Macaca mulatta: one gene and its partner. The protein of the gene in region 2 purifies or fractionates together with the protein of the main gene of each other region. This does not show direct contact. Links are inferred from orthologs where the notes say so. Each region holds a gene or a part of one and is shown on either strand. Other genes may lie near its edges.

What was found.
Region 1: the proteins of DDX23 (region 2) and TSSC4 purify together in Homo sapiens (affinity purification with mass spectrometry; 3 studies listed by BioGRID and IntAct, with this or other methods). This does not show direct contact. The link is inferred for Macaca mulatta from reciprocal best matches to the Homo sapiens genes DDX23 and TSSC4.

Annotation. Positions count from the first base shown.
Region 1 is NC_133419.1:2,306,311-2,312,111, forward strand, and holds TSSC4 (U5 small nuclear ribonucleoprotein TSSC4), read left to right. Parts: upstream 1-2,362; 5' UTR 2,363-2,410; intron 2,411-3,441; exon of another isoform or gene 3,442-3,582; intron 3,583-3,933; 5' UTR 3,934-4,090; intron 4,091-4,250; 5' UTR 4,251-4,273; coding exon 4,274-5,263; 3' UTR 5,264-5,526; downstream 5,527-5,801. UniProt on the Homo sapiens protein: Protein associated with the U5 snRNP, during its maturation and its post-splicing recycling and which is required for spliceosomal tri-snRNP complex assembly in the nucleus.
Region 2 is NC_133416.1:55,993,007-55,998,096, reverse strand, and holds part of DDX23 (probable ATP-dependent RNA helicase DDX23), read left to right. Parts: coding exon 1-97; intron 98-229; coding exon 230-342; intron 343-584; coding exon 585-728; intron 729-827; coding exon 828-1,053; intron 1,054-1,355; coding exon 1,356-1,501; intron 1,502-3,154; coding exon 3,155-3,332; intron 3,333-4,142; coding exon 4,143-4,385; exon of another isoform or gene 4,386-4,432; intron 4,433-5,067; exon of another isoform or gene 5,068-5,090. UniProt on the Homo sapiens protein: Involved in pre-mRNA splicing and its phosphorylated form (by SRPK2) is required for spliceosomal B complex formation.

The DNA.
Region 1 (5,801 bases), on a different chromosome or scaffold from region 2:
GTTGCGCCATGTTGGCCAGGCTAGTCTCGAACTCCTGAACACCCGAACTCAGGTGATAGACCAAGTGCTGGGATTATAGGTGTGAGCCACCACACCGGCCTAAGGTGTCTGTTTTAATGTGAATGCTGGTCAGCAGTGCCTGAATTCCCACTGGAAGAGGGTATAATGAGGCACATTGGGCCACCCACGGTCATCATGGCCTGAACTAGCTTTTCAGGTTTACTTTAGAATGCGTTTGGCCAAGAGGTGTCCATTCGGTTGGTTGGGGTTGCTTAGAATTTTACTTTGGGTTTAAACCAGGGAGTAACTCCAGGTAGCAAGGGCCCTTTCTGGGAGGATTCTCTGTGTTCTCTTTTGGGAGAGGCCCTGTGTTGCCTGCAGTCACTTCCACCCTGCCCCTTGGGCACACGAGGAGCACACAGTGTCAGTAGGTTGGCAGGAGGGGTCGGGCAGCCAGGGAATGCAGTATGAGATGGGCTTGGGGTCGGGGCTGGGTGCGCTGCAGGACTCCTCCTCCTCCTAAGGGATGGCAAAGGATGGACACACTGCTCCCTCCTGAGCATTTGAGGGTCTCTGTCCTGCCCATCTATTTCCTGTAAGTGTTCCTTTGAAGAGCTGGCGGCTCAGGCCTGAGCCATGTCTCAAAGGGGCTGGAGGGGAAGAAAGACCTCGTCCTACTAGGGAGCCCACCCAGCCCCTCAGCGGGCGGTGGTTGGGGGGTGGACAGGCTCTGGGGCTAAGCAGCCCCTGCGCTCCCCGTCCTTGCCAATGGGCTTGGTCTAGACTCTCCTATCTTCCCCTACATCGTGGGGTGGGGCTTGCTCTGGGTCAGGCTGCTTTTCCCTAGTTGTGGGGCGGGAGATGCTGGCACATTTAACTGACCCCTGGAGGAAATGAGTGCCTGGGAATTCATGTCTAGGGCTCCCAGCAGCCTCTTTGCGGGCCAATTTGGAAACTGTCCCCAGCCCTGCAATTTAGGGGGTTACAGAGTCTCTCAGCAGGCCCTCCTCCCCTGCTGCTCCCAACTTCCAAGCCTGCACTGGTTGGGGTAACAGGATGGTTCAAGGAGCCCCCTCTCTACTTTCCACTATGTTCCCTGTGGGGAGGGAAGAGCAGTTTAAGGAATAAGGTATCCCAAAGGTGCACAGCAGACCGGGGGCCGAGGAGGGGGTCCTGCTTCCCCTCCTTTTCTCTAGGCTGAGCCACAGCAGGTCCTTGAATCCTATTTCCCAGCGGATGCCAGGACAGCAGGCCCTGGGGGAGTTCTCTCTCGAGCCTTTCAGAGGGACCAGAGGTCTAGCAGCCACGGGGAACTCAGATTCCTTGACTGTGTGGGGCATGAACTCTCCCAGCTGAGAAGGAGCACAAGGTGCCAACAGGGCCAGTGGCCAAGGGAGACGCGGCTTGTCGAAGGGAGAACCTGGGCCCTCGTCTTCCCTTTCAGGGCGGGCATCTGACCTGCCCCCTGGACAGGCTCCCAAGCACGGCGGAGGCCAAACCTTCCCGGCTGCCGCCCACCCAGCCACGCTGACTTGGAAGCTTGAGCATTCAGCGGCCTCCATCCTGCCCGGAAGGACCAGGGACCTGGCCCCAGCTTCCCCGCAGAGCCCTCGGGGGACGTCTCAGTGCCTCCCGGAGCCCGGACCAGTGCACCAGAGCTGAGGGCCCAGAGGTGTCAGGGTGGCCGGGCAATTGTGTGAGGACGACGCCCCACAAGTTTGCGGCCAGGGCCCAGTAAACCCCTAGGGGTGGGAAAGCGTCGGCCCAACCAGCGGGTAAAGCCCCCTTCACCCGTGACCCAGCGGCCACGACCCCGCGTCTTCATCTCGGGCTGGGACCGCCTCTGCGTCTGGCCTGAGCGGGACCGTGGGATCCCGGGGAGCCCCGCCTCGCTGCATTGACGAAGCCCAGGAGGAGCGACAGTTACCGCTTCCGGTCATGACCGGAAGTGCTGGGAACGGCATTCGTTCTCCATACGAGATGATGCACTTCCTGCCTGGGGCGGCCGCTGTTCTCGCGGTTTCCGGCAGGTGGCGCTGGGACCACGGGAAGCCGGCCCGGTTGTCGGTTAGCCGTCGAGCATTCTGGGAATTGCAGGCCTGGCCCCTCCTCTTCCTGTTCTTCTTGGTCAATTCCGGTCTTGGTTCCCCAACAAATGCCGTCGTTTCCGGGGCCGCTTCCGAGCCGGACCCAAGGGCCGGGGCGTAGAGGGGCGGGCGCATGCGCACAGGGCTACACATCCCGACAGGCGTCGGGAGTGGAGGCCCAGTGCCTTGTGGGAGTTGTAGTTCTGCAGGTGCGGAAACCGCGGCGCTCCGCCGGCAGAGCACTCGGTTTCCCAGAGGGCTGAGCGCGCCGCGCGGACGTGCGGCGCCGACCAAGATGGAGATTGCCGTGCATCCTTGAGCCGGTAGGTTTGTGCTGATGGAGGACGGGCCACGGTGGCCGGCCGAGCCTCCGGAAGGTCACCGAGCGCAGCTTTAAATTGAGCTCGGAGGCCCCGCTGTGCTTGCCAACCCCCGTACCTTGCGACCGGGCCCTTGGCACCCACAGCATCCTCTTGAGGCCCGGACCCGGGCCTGTCCAGCCCGACTTCGCACCGAGAGCCAACTTGGCACTGAGAGTTCGTTCTTTCCCTGGCGGGGAGGTCTTGCTGGCACATAGAGTGGAGAAAGGCCCGGCTCTGCATTCATGTGGAGAAACAGACGGCTTCCTTCAGTCTCCAGACATGAAGGAGTCAACTCTGCCCTTCCACTCATTGCCGGATCTCGCCGAGAACCCCGAGAACGGACTCCTGGAGTCCCTGTCTTGCAGCCCGATCCCCGCTCCCCCTCGGAGTGCCCCGCTGACCAGGCTGCTTCTGGCCGCGGCGGCGTTCTGCTGCAGAGGACGGGAGTGCGAATCTGGGAAGCAGGGGTCTGGTTGGAACTCCAGCTTCGTCTGCAACATACTGTGTGACTTGGGCAAATTATGGCCCCCGCCCCATTCCTGCCAGTTTTAAAACGGTCATCAGTGTGGGGGGTACTGGGTATCGCCTTTCCCTGGGGTGGCTTCTTCACTGAGGAGAGTCAGGCCTCAGAGGAATTGAGGTCCTTCCTGTGTTTGACCTGGTGGAGGGCACTGACAGTCCCTAATAGTACCCCTGACCCCATCCTTGTTGGGTGCACAAGACACAGGTCACTCTGGGCGGGCAAGGAGTGTTGGTAGCAGGAGAGGAGTCAGTGGATGGATGGCCGAGGACAGTGAAGAAGGGTGTGGATGGGCCGTCTTTTTTGCTTGGAAACGCAAGCTCTGAGGCACCTAGTCACTCTACCGCTAAATGGGTACAGGAGGCAGCATTTGTCTGCCCAGCTGGAAAGGCAAGGTATGTGCTGAGTGTTACAGGAGGAAGGTCACTGGAGGTCGCTCCAGGAGCTGCGGGGATTTGCTTCTGCCTAGCAGGGCTGCTCAAGGTGATGGTCGACACCCCACTTTCCTGAGAGCTTGACCCTCAGATGCCAGGGCCTTGGCTGCAGATTCCTTGGGAGCTCCCGGGGATCTTCCAGCAAATAGGAGCAAACCTTTTCCCCATGGATCAGGAAGGTGCCGGCTCTTTGTGGAGTACCAACTGCTCACCCTGCACAGCAAGCAGCTTATAAGTGGCCTTCCTGCCTGATCTCGGCCCTGGGTTTAAGCCCTGGGTGGCTGCTTACTACTAAAATCGCTTAGTAGCTCCAAGCTTGCCTGCAGAGGGTTGGCACGATTAAATGAGGTAACGAGTCAAAAGTCCCTACCCTGAGTCCTAGCCTGTCAGGGGCTCTGAAAACCCAGACTTAGGTCGGTCCTGCCTGGCACCTTAAGGGGTGACAATGTGCTGGCACTGGACACAACCTGTTTCACACATGTGTGCTCTGGTCTGAGGTTGGTCCTCTCCCCCACCCCACCCACCTGCAGTTGAGCAGCTGAACAGCGGCAATGCTGGGGCACTCCCAGGCCTGAGACGACCACGCCTGTGCCACTGAGGACCTTCAGCAGGGCTCCATTCACCTGGCCCACTTGGCTGTCCAGTCACACTCCAGTGTCAACCACTGGCACCCAGCAGCCAAGAGAGGTGAGAGGAGGGCTTGGAGGGGGAGGCGGGACTCCACCCTGTGTGGGACGGTTCTGTCAGTTGATTCTCTACTTGTCCAGGGGCAGTGGATCTGCAGGGGGAACTCATTCTCAATACTTTTCCTCCTGAGAGACAAACTTCCTGGGCCGTTTTGGTTTAGGTGTGGCGTGGCCCTGGGGACCCATGGCTGATGCAGGGACAGGTGAGCCGTCCCCCAGCGTGGAGGGCGAGCACGGGACGGAGTATGACACGCTGCCTTCCGACACAGTCTCCCTCAGCGACTCGGACTCTGACCTCAGCTTGCCCGGTGGTGCTGAAGTGGAAGCACTGTCCCCGCTGGGGCTGCCTGGGGAGGAGGATTCAGGTCCTGATGAACCACCCTCACCCCCGTCAGGCCTCCTCCCGGCCACGGTGCAGCCATTCCATCTGAGAGGCATGAGCTCCACCTTCTCCCAGCGCAGCCGTGACATCTTTGACTGCCTGGAGGGAGCGGCCAGGAGGGCTCCATCCTCTGTGGCCCACACAAGCATGAGTGACAATGGAGGCTTCAAGCAGCCCCTAGCGCCCTCAGGCCGGTCTCCAGTGGAAGGCCTGGGCGGGGCCCGTCGGAGCCCCGCCTCCCCAAGGGTGCCTCCGGTCCCTGACTACGTGGCACACCCCGAGCGCTGGACCAAGTACAGCCTAGAAGATGTGACCGAGGTCAGCGAGCAGAGCAATCAGGCCGCCGCCCTGGCCTTCCTGGGCTCCCAGAGCCTGGCTGCCCCCACTGACTGTGTGTCCTCCTTCAACCAGGACCCCTCCAGCTGTGGGGCGGGGAGGGTCGTCTTCACCAAACCAGTCCGAGGCGTCGAGGCCAGACACGAGAGGAAGAGGGTCCTGGGGAAGGTGGGAGAGCCGGGCAGGGGTGGCCTTGGGAACCCTGCCACAGACAGGGGCGAGGGCCCTGTGGAGCTGGCCCATCTGGCCGGGCCCGGGAGCCCAGAGGCCGAGGAGTGGGGCAGCCCCCATGGGGGCCTGCAGGAGGTGGAGGCACTGTCAGGGCCTGTCCACAGTGGGTCTGTGCCAGGTCTCCCGCCGGTGGAGACTGTTGGCTTCCATGGCAGCAGGAAGCGGAGTCGAGACCACTTCCGGAACAAGGGCAGCAGCCCTGAGGACCCAGGTGCTGAGGTCTGAGAGGGAGATGGCCCAGCCTGACCACACTGGCCACTGCCATCCTGCTGCCTTCCTAGTGGGGCTGGTCAAGGGGCAGCCTGGCCACTGCCCAGCTGGAGTGGGAGGAAGCCTGCAGGCTGCCTGTAGGTGGCACTGGAGGCCCTGGCTGCAGCTCTGGGTGGCGTCCTCCCGAGCAGAGACCTGCTGAGGCTCCTGGGGTGTGGGGTGTGGGCTGGAAGCACTGGCTTCCTGGTGGGGACAATAAAGGTTTTGGGTCTTTCTCAGACTTTGTGTATATTTGGGCCCTGCTTACTCAAAGGGGTCTGTCGGCAGCAAGAGGTCCCCACACCTGACAGTGCTGGACCACTCGAGGGTGGCTGACACCTGCATCCCTTAACAGCAGATCACCCAGGTGACAGCAAGAGTTGGTAACCCCAGGCCGCCTCTAGGGCTTGTGGCTCAGTGGCAGGTGTCCAGCGAGTACCCTCAATGGGCCTGAGTGGGTCCAGAATCTGCCCTCCCCCAACCAAAGCCCACAGGATGCCATCAGCCCCAGGCC
Region 2 (5,090 bases):
GAGGATGGAACGGGAGACCAATGGAAATGAGGATGAGGAAGGTCGGCAGAAGATCCGGGAAGAGAAGGATAAGAGCAAGGAACTGCATGCCATTAAGGTGCAGGCCTTGGATCCATCTTCACTTCTCTCCCACACACAAAAATGAGGTTTAGTTATTTGGCCATTGTGATCTCTGCATGTGAGAATTGGGCCTCAAGGCTCATGTGCTTTGTGTTCCCTCCCTGAGCAGGAACGTTACCTGGGTGGCATCAAAAAACGGCGCCGAACAAGACATCTCAATGACCGAAAATTTGTTTTTGAGTGGGATGCATCTGAGGACACATCCATTGACTACAACCCCCTGTGAGTGGCTTCAGGCCTGAATTCTAGGTCTTTTCCACTAGGCAGTCCTAGAGAGCTGATGACTACAGAGGTGGAGGAAGTCAGACAAGCCGGGATGGAAAATTGGTAGACTGGTAGTCAGCCAGCCCTCTGGTGGAAGAAAGACCCTGTCCAGGAGGAACTGTTTCATATTAGTAGTCTGCCCTTCCCTCCTACTGCCATAACAGCTGCTTCTTTTTTCTTTTCCTCTGTCTCAATCCCAGGTATAAAGAACGGCACCAGGTGCAGTTGTTAGGGCGAGGCTTCATTGCAGGCATTGACCTCAAGCAGCAGAAACGAGAGCAGTCACGTTTCTATGGAGACCTAATGGAGAAAAGGCGAACCCTGGAAGAAAAGGAGCAGGAGGAGTGAGTGATCAAGGCTAGGGTGGCTGGACAGAGCCCAGAGACTCTACAGAAAGGAGTTGGAGGGCACTGATTCTACTTACTCCTCACATCCTGCTCCAGGGCAAGACTCCGTAAACTTCGTAAGAAGGAAGCCAAGCAGCGCTGGGATGATCGTCATTGGTCTCAGAAAAAGTTAGATGAGATGACGGACAGGGACTGGCGGATCTTCCGTGAGGACTACAGCATCACCACCAAAGGTGGCAAGATCCCCAATCCCATCCGATCCTGGAAAGACTCTTCTCTGCCCCCACACATCTTGGAAGTCATTGATAAGTGTGGCTATAAGGTAAGGAGGGGTAGATTGGCCCAAAAGATCTGAAATGTTCCTGCACTAGTTTGGGAATAGAGAACTTTGTTCCTTGACTATTTGGAGCCATCCCTGCTATTGGGTACCAATGTGACCTTTTCTGTCACTTTCTGGTAGAAGCGTCAGCTTTTAGTGATTATGTTTCTTCTTGGGGTCCCCATTTCTGTGCACTGTACTTGGCATCCTTCCATTGCACTAGCAGATATGCTTACTACTATCAGTGGTAGCCCAGGTTGTATAATTCTGCCTGTACCTATTACTCTTTCTCGGGGTCACTGCAGGAACCAACACCTATCCAGCGTCAGGCAATTCCCATTGGGCTACAGAATCGTGACATCATTGGTGTGGCTGAGACTGGCAGCGGCAAGACAGCAGCCTTCCTCATCCCACTGCTGGTCTGGATCACCACACTTCCCAAAATTGACAGGTGGGGTCAGCTGGCACCAGCTGGAGTGGGTTTGTCTGGGTAGGAAAGGTGAAAGTGGCAAAAGAATGTGTGTTTTTTGTTTCACGTCTATAATCGGAAGCTTGCTTCTTTATTCTTGGTTCGATATTAGGGAATAATTGGATCATGATATCAAAGAATTATATGTTGCTGGCAAAGACCTGGAGAACTTTGCTATCCTGGAGTCTCTGATTTTTATTTTTTTATTTTATTATATTTATTTTTTTGAGACAGAGTCTCACTCTGTCACCCAGGCTGGAGTGCAGTGGCACGATCTCGGCTCACTGCAACTTCTGCCTCCCAGGTTCAGGTGATTTTCCTGCCTCATCCTCCTGAGTAGCTGGGAATTACAGGCATGTGCCACCACACCCAGCTAACTTTTGTTTTTTTGTTTTGTTTTGTTTTTTTGAGATGGAGTTTTGCTCTTGTTGCCCAGGCTGGAGTGCAGTGGCGCAGTCTCGGCTCACTGCAACCTCCTCCTCCCAGGTTCAAGTGATTCTCCTCCCTCAGCCTCCTGAGTAGCTGGAATTATAGGCACCCGTCACCACGCCCGGCTAATTTTTTTGTATTTTTAGTAGAGACGGGGTCTACATGTTGTTCAGGCTGGTCTCTTAACTCCTGACCTCAGGTGATCCGCCTGCCTCAGCCTCCCAAAGTGTTGGGATTACGGGCATGAGCCACTGCGCCCGTCCTTAATTTTTGTATTTTTAGTAGAGATGAGGTTTCACCATGTTGGCCAGGTTGGTCTCAAACTCCTGATTTCAAGTGATCTGCCTGCCTTGGCCTCCCAAAGTGCTGGGATTACAGGCGTGAACCACTGCACCTGGCCGAATCTCTGATTTTTATTTATTTATTTATTTATTATTTATTTATTTTTGTTTTTTTGAGATGGAGTCACGCTTTGTTGACCAGGCTGGAGTGCAGTGGTGTGATCTTGGCTTACTGCAACCGTTGCCTCCCAGGCGCAGATCCTCCCACCTCAGCCTCCCAAGTAGCTGGGATTACAGGTGTGTTCCAACATGCCCAGCTAATTTTTGTATTTTTTGTAGAAACAGAGTTTTACCATGTTGCCTAGGCTGGTCTCAAACTCCTGGGCTCAAGTGATTCACCCACCTCAGCCTCCCAAAGTGCTGGGATTATAGGCTTGTACCATTTTGCCTGGCCTCTGGACTTACTTTTTTTTTTTTTTTTTTTTTTTTTTTTTTGAGACAGAGTGTCTCTGTCAGGCTGGAGTACAGTGGCACGATCTCAGCTCACTGCAACCTCCATCTCCTGGGTTCAAGCAATTCTCCTGCCTCAGCCTCCCGAGTAGCTGGTATTACAGGCGCCGGCCACCACCCCTGGCTAATTTTTGTATTTTTATTAGAGGCAGAGTTTCACCATGTTGGCCAGGGTGGTCTCAAACTCCTGACCTCAGGTGATCCGCCTGCCTCAGCCTCCCACAGTTCTGGGATTACAGGTGTGAGCCATAGCGCCCAGCCCTGGCCTCTGATTTTTGAGTGAGATCATTTCATTCTTTTCTCATCATCCTCCCCATTCCCATCGCTTCCCCTAAGAGTGACTTTGTCTTGCTCTGGCTTGTGGTTGGATAAGAACCAAAGCTCACGAAGCTGTGGGATGCCCCATTTACCACAGAATCGAAGAGTCAGACCAAGGCCCTTATGCCATCATCCTGGCTCCCACCCGTGAGTTGGCTCAACAGATTGAGGAAGAGACCATCAAGTTTGGGAAGCCGCTAGGTATCCGCACTGTGGCTGTCATTGGTGGCATCTCCAGAGAAGACCAAGGCTTCAGGCTGCGCATGGGTTGTGAGGTTTGTTTTTCTATCTAGCAGCCAGCCTGCTGTCTGGGAAGGCTATCTTGGGGCTTTGTTTCTAGTTTCTGGAATAGATGTGCAGTAGAATGAAGAAAGGAGCTGGTTTATATGTATGTGCTATTTATTGAGAACTTATGCACCAAAGTTTATATTACAAATAGTATATATCATATATATTAGCTCATTAATTCTCACAATAATGTGTGAGAGTAGGTAGTGATATTTCCTTGTTATAGATCAGGCTGAGGTTCAGGTTAATAACTGCCTGAAGTCACAAACAGCTGGCAATGGGCAGAGCTGAGATTCTTATCCATAGCCTGTGCTTTTAGTTACTCTTTACTCTGCCAGACCAAATCTTTGACTTTGTGCATTGCGTTCATCTCAGGAAAGTGGAGGAGAGCTTTTTATGAGAAATCTGCTGTAGAAATTTAGAGTTTTTACTTTTTTTTTTTTTTAATTTAGTCTTTATACAACCCCCTTCATGGTATCCCTTAGTCTCTCCCATCTAAGAAAGTTGCTTCTTCAGGATCTGAAATGATTTGCCAAAAAAAAAAAAAGTTTCTACTGATTTTGCCTCCTCTGTCTAATCCCTGCATCTTACTCAGAGACCTCATTCGTTCCTGAGAAAATCCAGGCAACAAGTGATTTCATGCTGGTTTGCAGGAGCCTTTACTGCTAAACATAACCAGAGGTTGGGGTCCAAGTTCCTCAGCATTGGAGGTCTGTCACCCAAGTGGGTGGATAGTTCACAGGAAAGAAAAGAAGGGGCACCTGCTGGGCTGTAAGTGATTATACTGTACTACTCAGATTGTGATCGCTACCCCTGGGCGTTTGATTGATGTGCTGGAGAACCGCTACCTGGTGCTGAGCCGCTGTACTTATGTGGTTCTGGATGAGGCAGATAGGATGATTGACATGGGCTTTGAGCCAGATGTCCAGAAGATCCTGGAGCACATGCCTGTCAGCAACCAGAAGCCAGACACGGATGAGGCTGAGGACCCTGAGAAGATGCTGGCCAACTTTGAGTCGGGAAAACATAAGTACCGCCAAGTAAGGCTGCTTCCCTGGGCTGGGAAAAGTGGGACAGGCCAAGGCGGGTGGATCACTTGAGCTCAGGAGTTTGAGACAGCCTGGGCAACATGGCGAAACTCCATCTCTACAAAAATTACAAAAATTAGCTGGGCATGGTGGTGCGCACCTGTGGTCCCAGCCACTCCAGAGGCTGAGGTGGGAGGACCTCTTAAGCCTGGGAGGCCGAGGTTGCAGTGAGCTGAGGTCGTGTCACTATTCCACTCCAACCTGGGCAACAGAGTGAGGCCCTGTCTCAAAAAAAAAAAAAAAAAAAGAAAAGTTGTACAAGTTTGCCAACCTCCTATTGGGCCTTTCTTGCCTTAGGTGGGCTCAGAGTACATGTTTCTAGAATGAAGTGTGCCTAGTTACGGTCCTCTGACAGTCCTAAGGGTGGAGCCGTTTAGCTTAGCCCTGGAAAAACGATTCCAAAGACTTATGCTGCTACCGGGACCACAGGTGCTAGCAAATGCTCTCAGGCCTTCCTGTCATCATAAGATGGAAAGTACCTTGATGAACGGGTACTGGGGAAGGATGGGAATTCAGAGGACACTATTTTCTAAGGTGGTGGCTATCAAAGCCTATACTGCGGCACATTTTAGATTCTTTAGTCTGGGCTGGGTTGGTGACAGTGGGATATGTAATTATGCCTGCCTGGGTGCAGGGCTGAGCCTCTTGTTTTCGTAG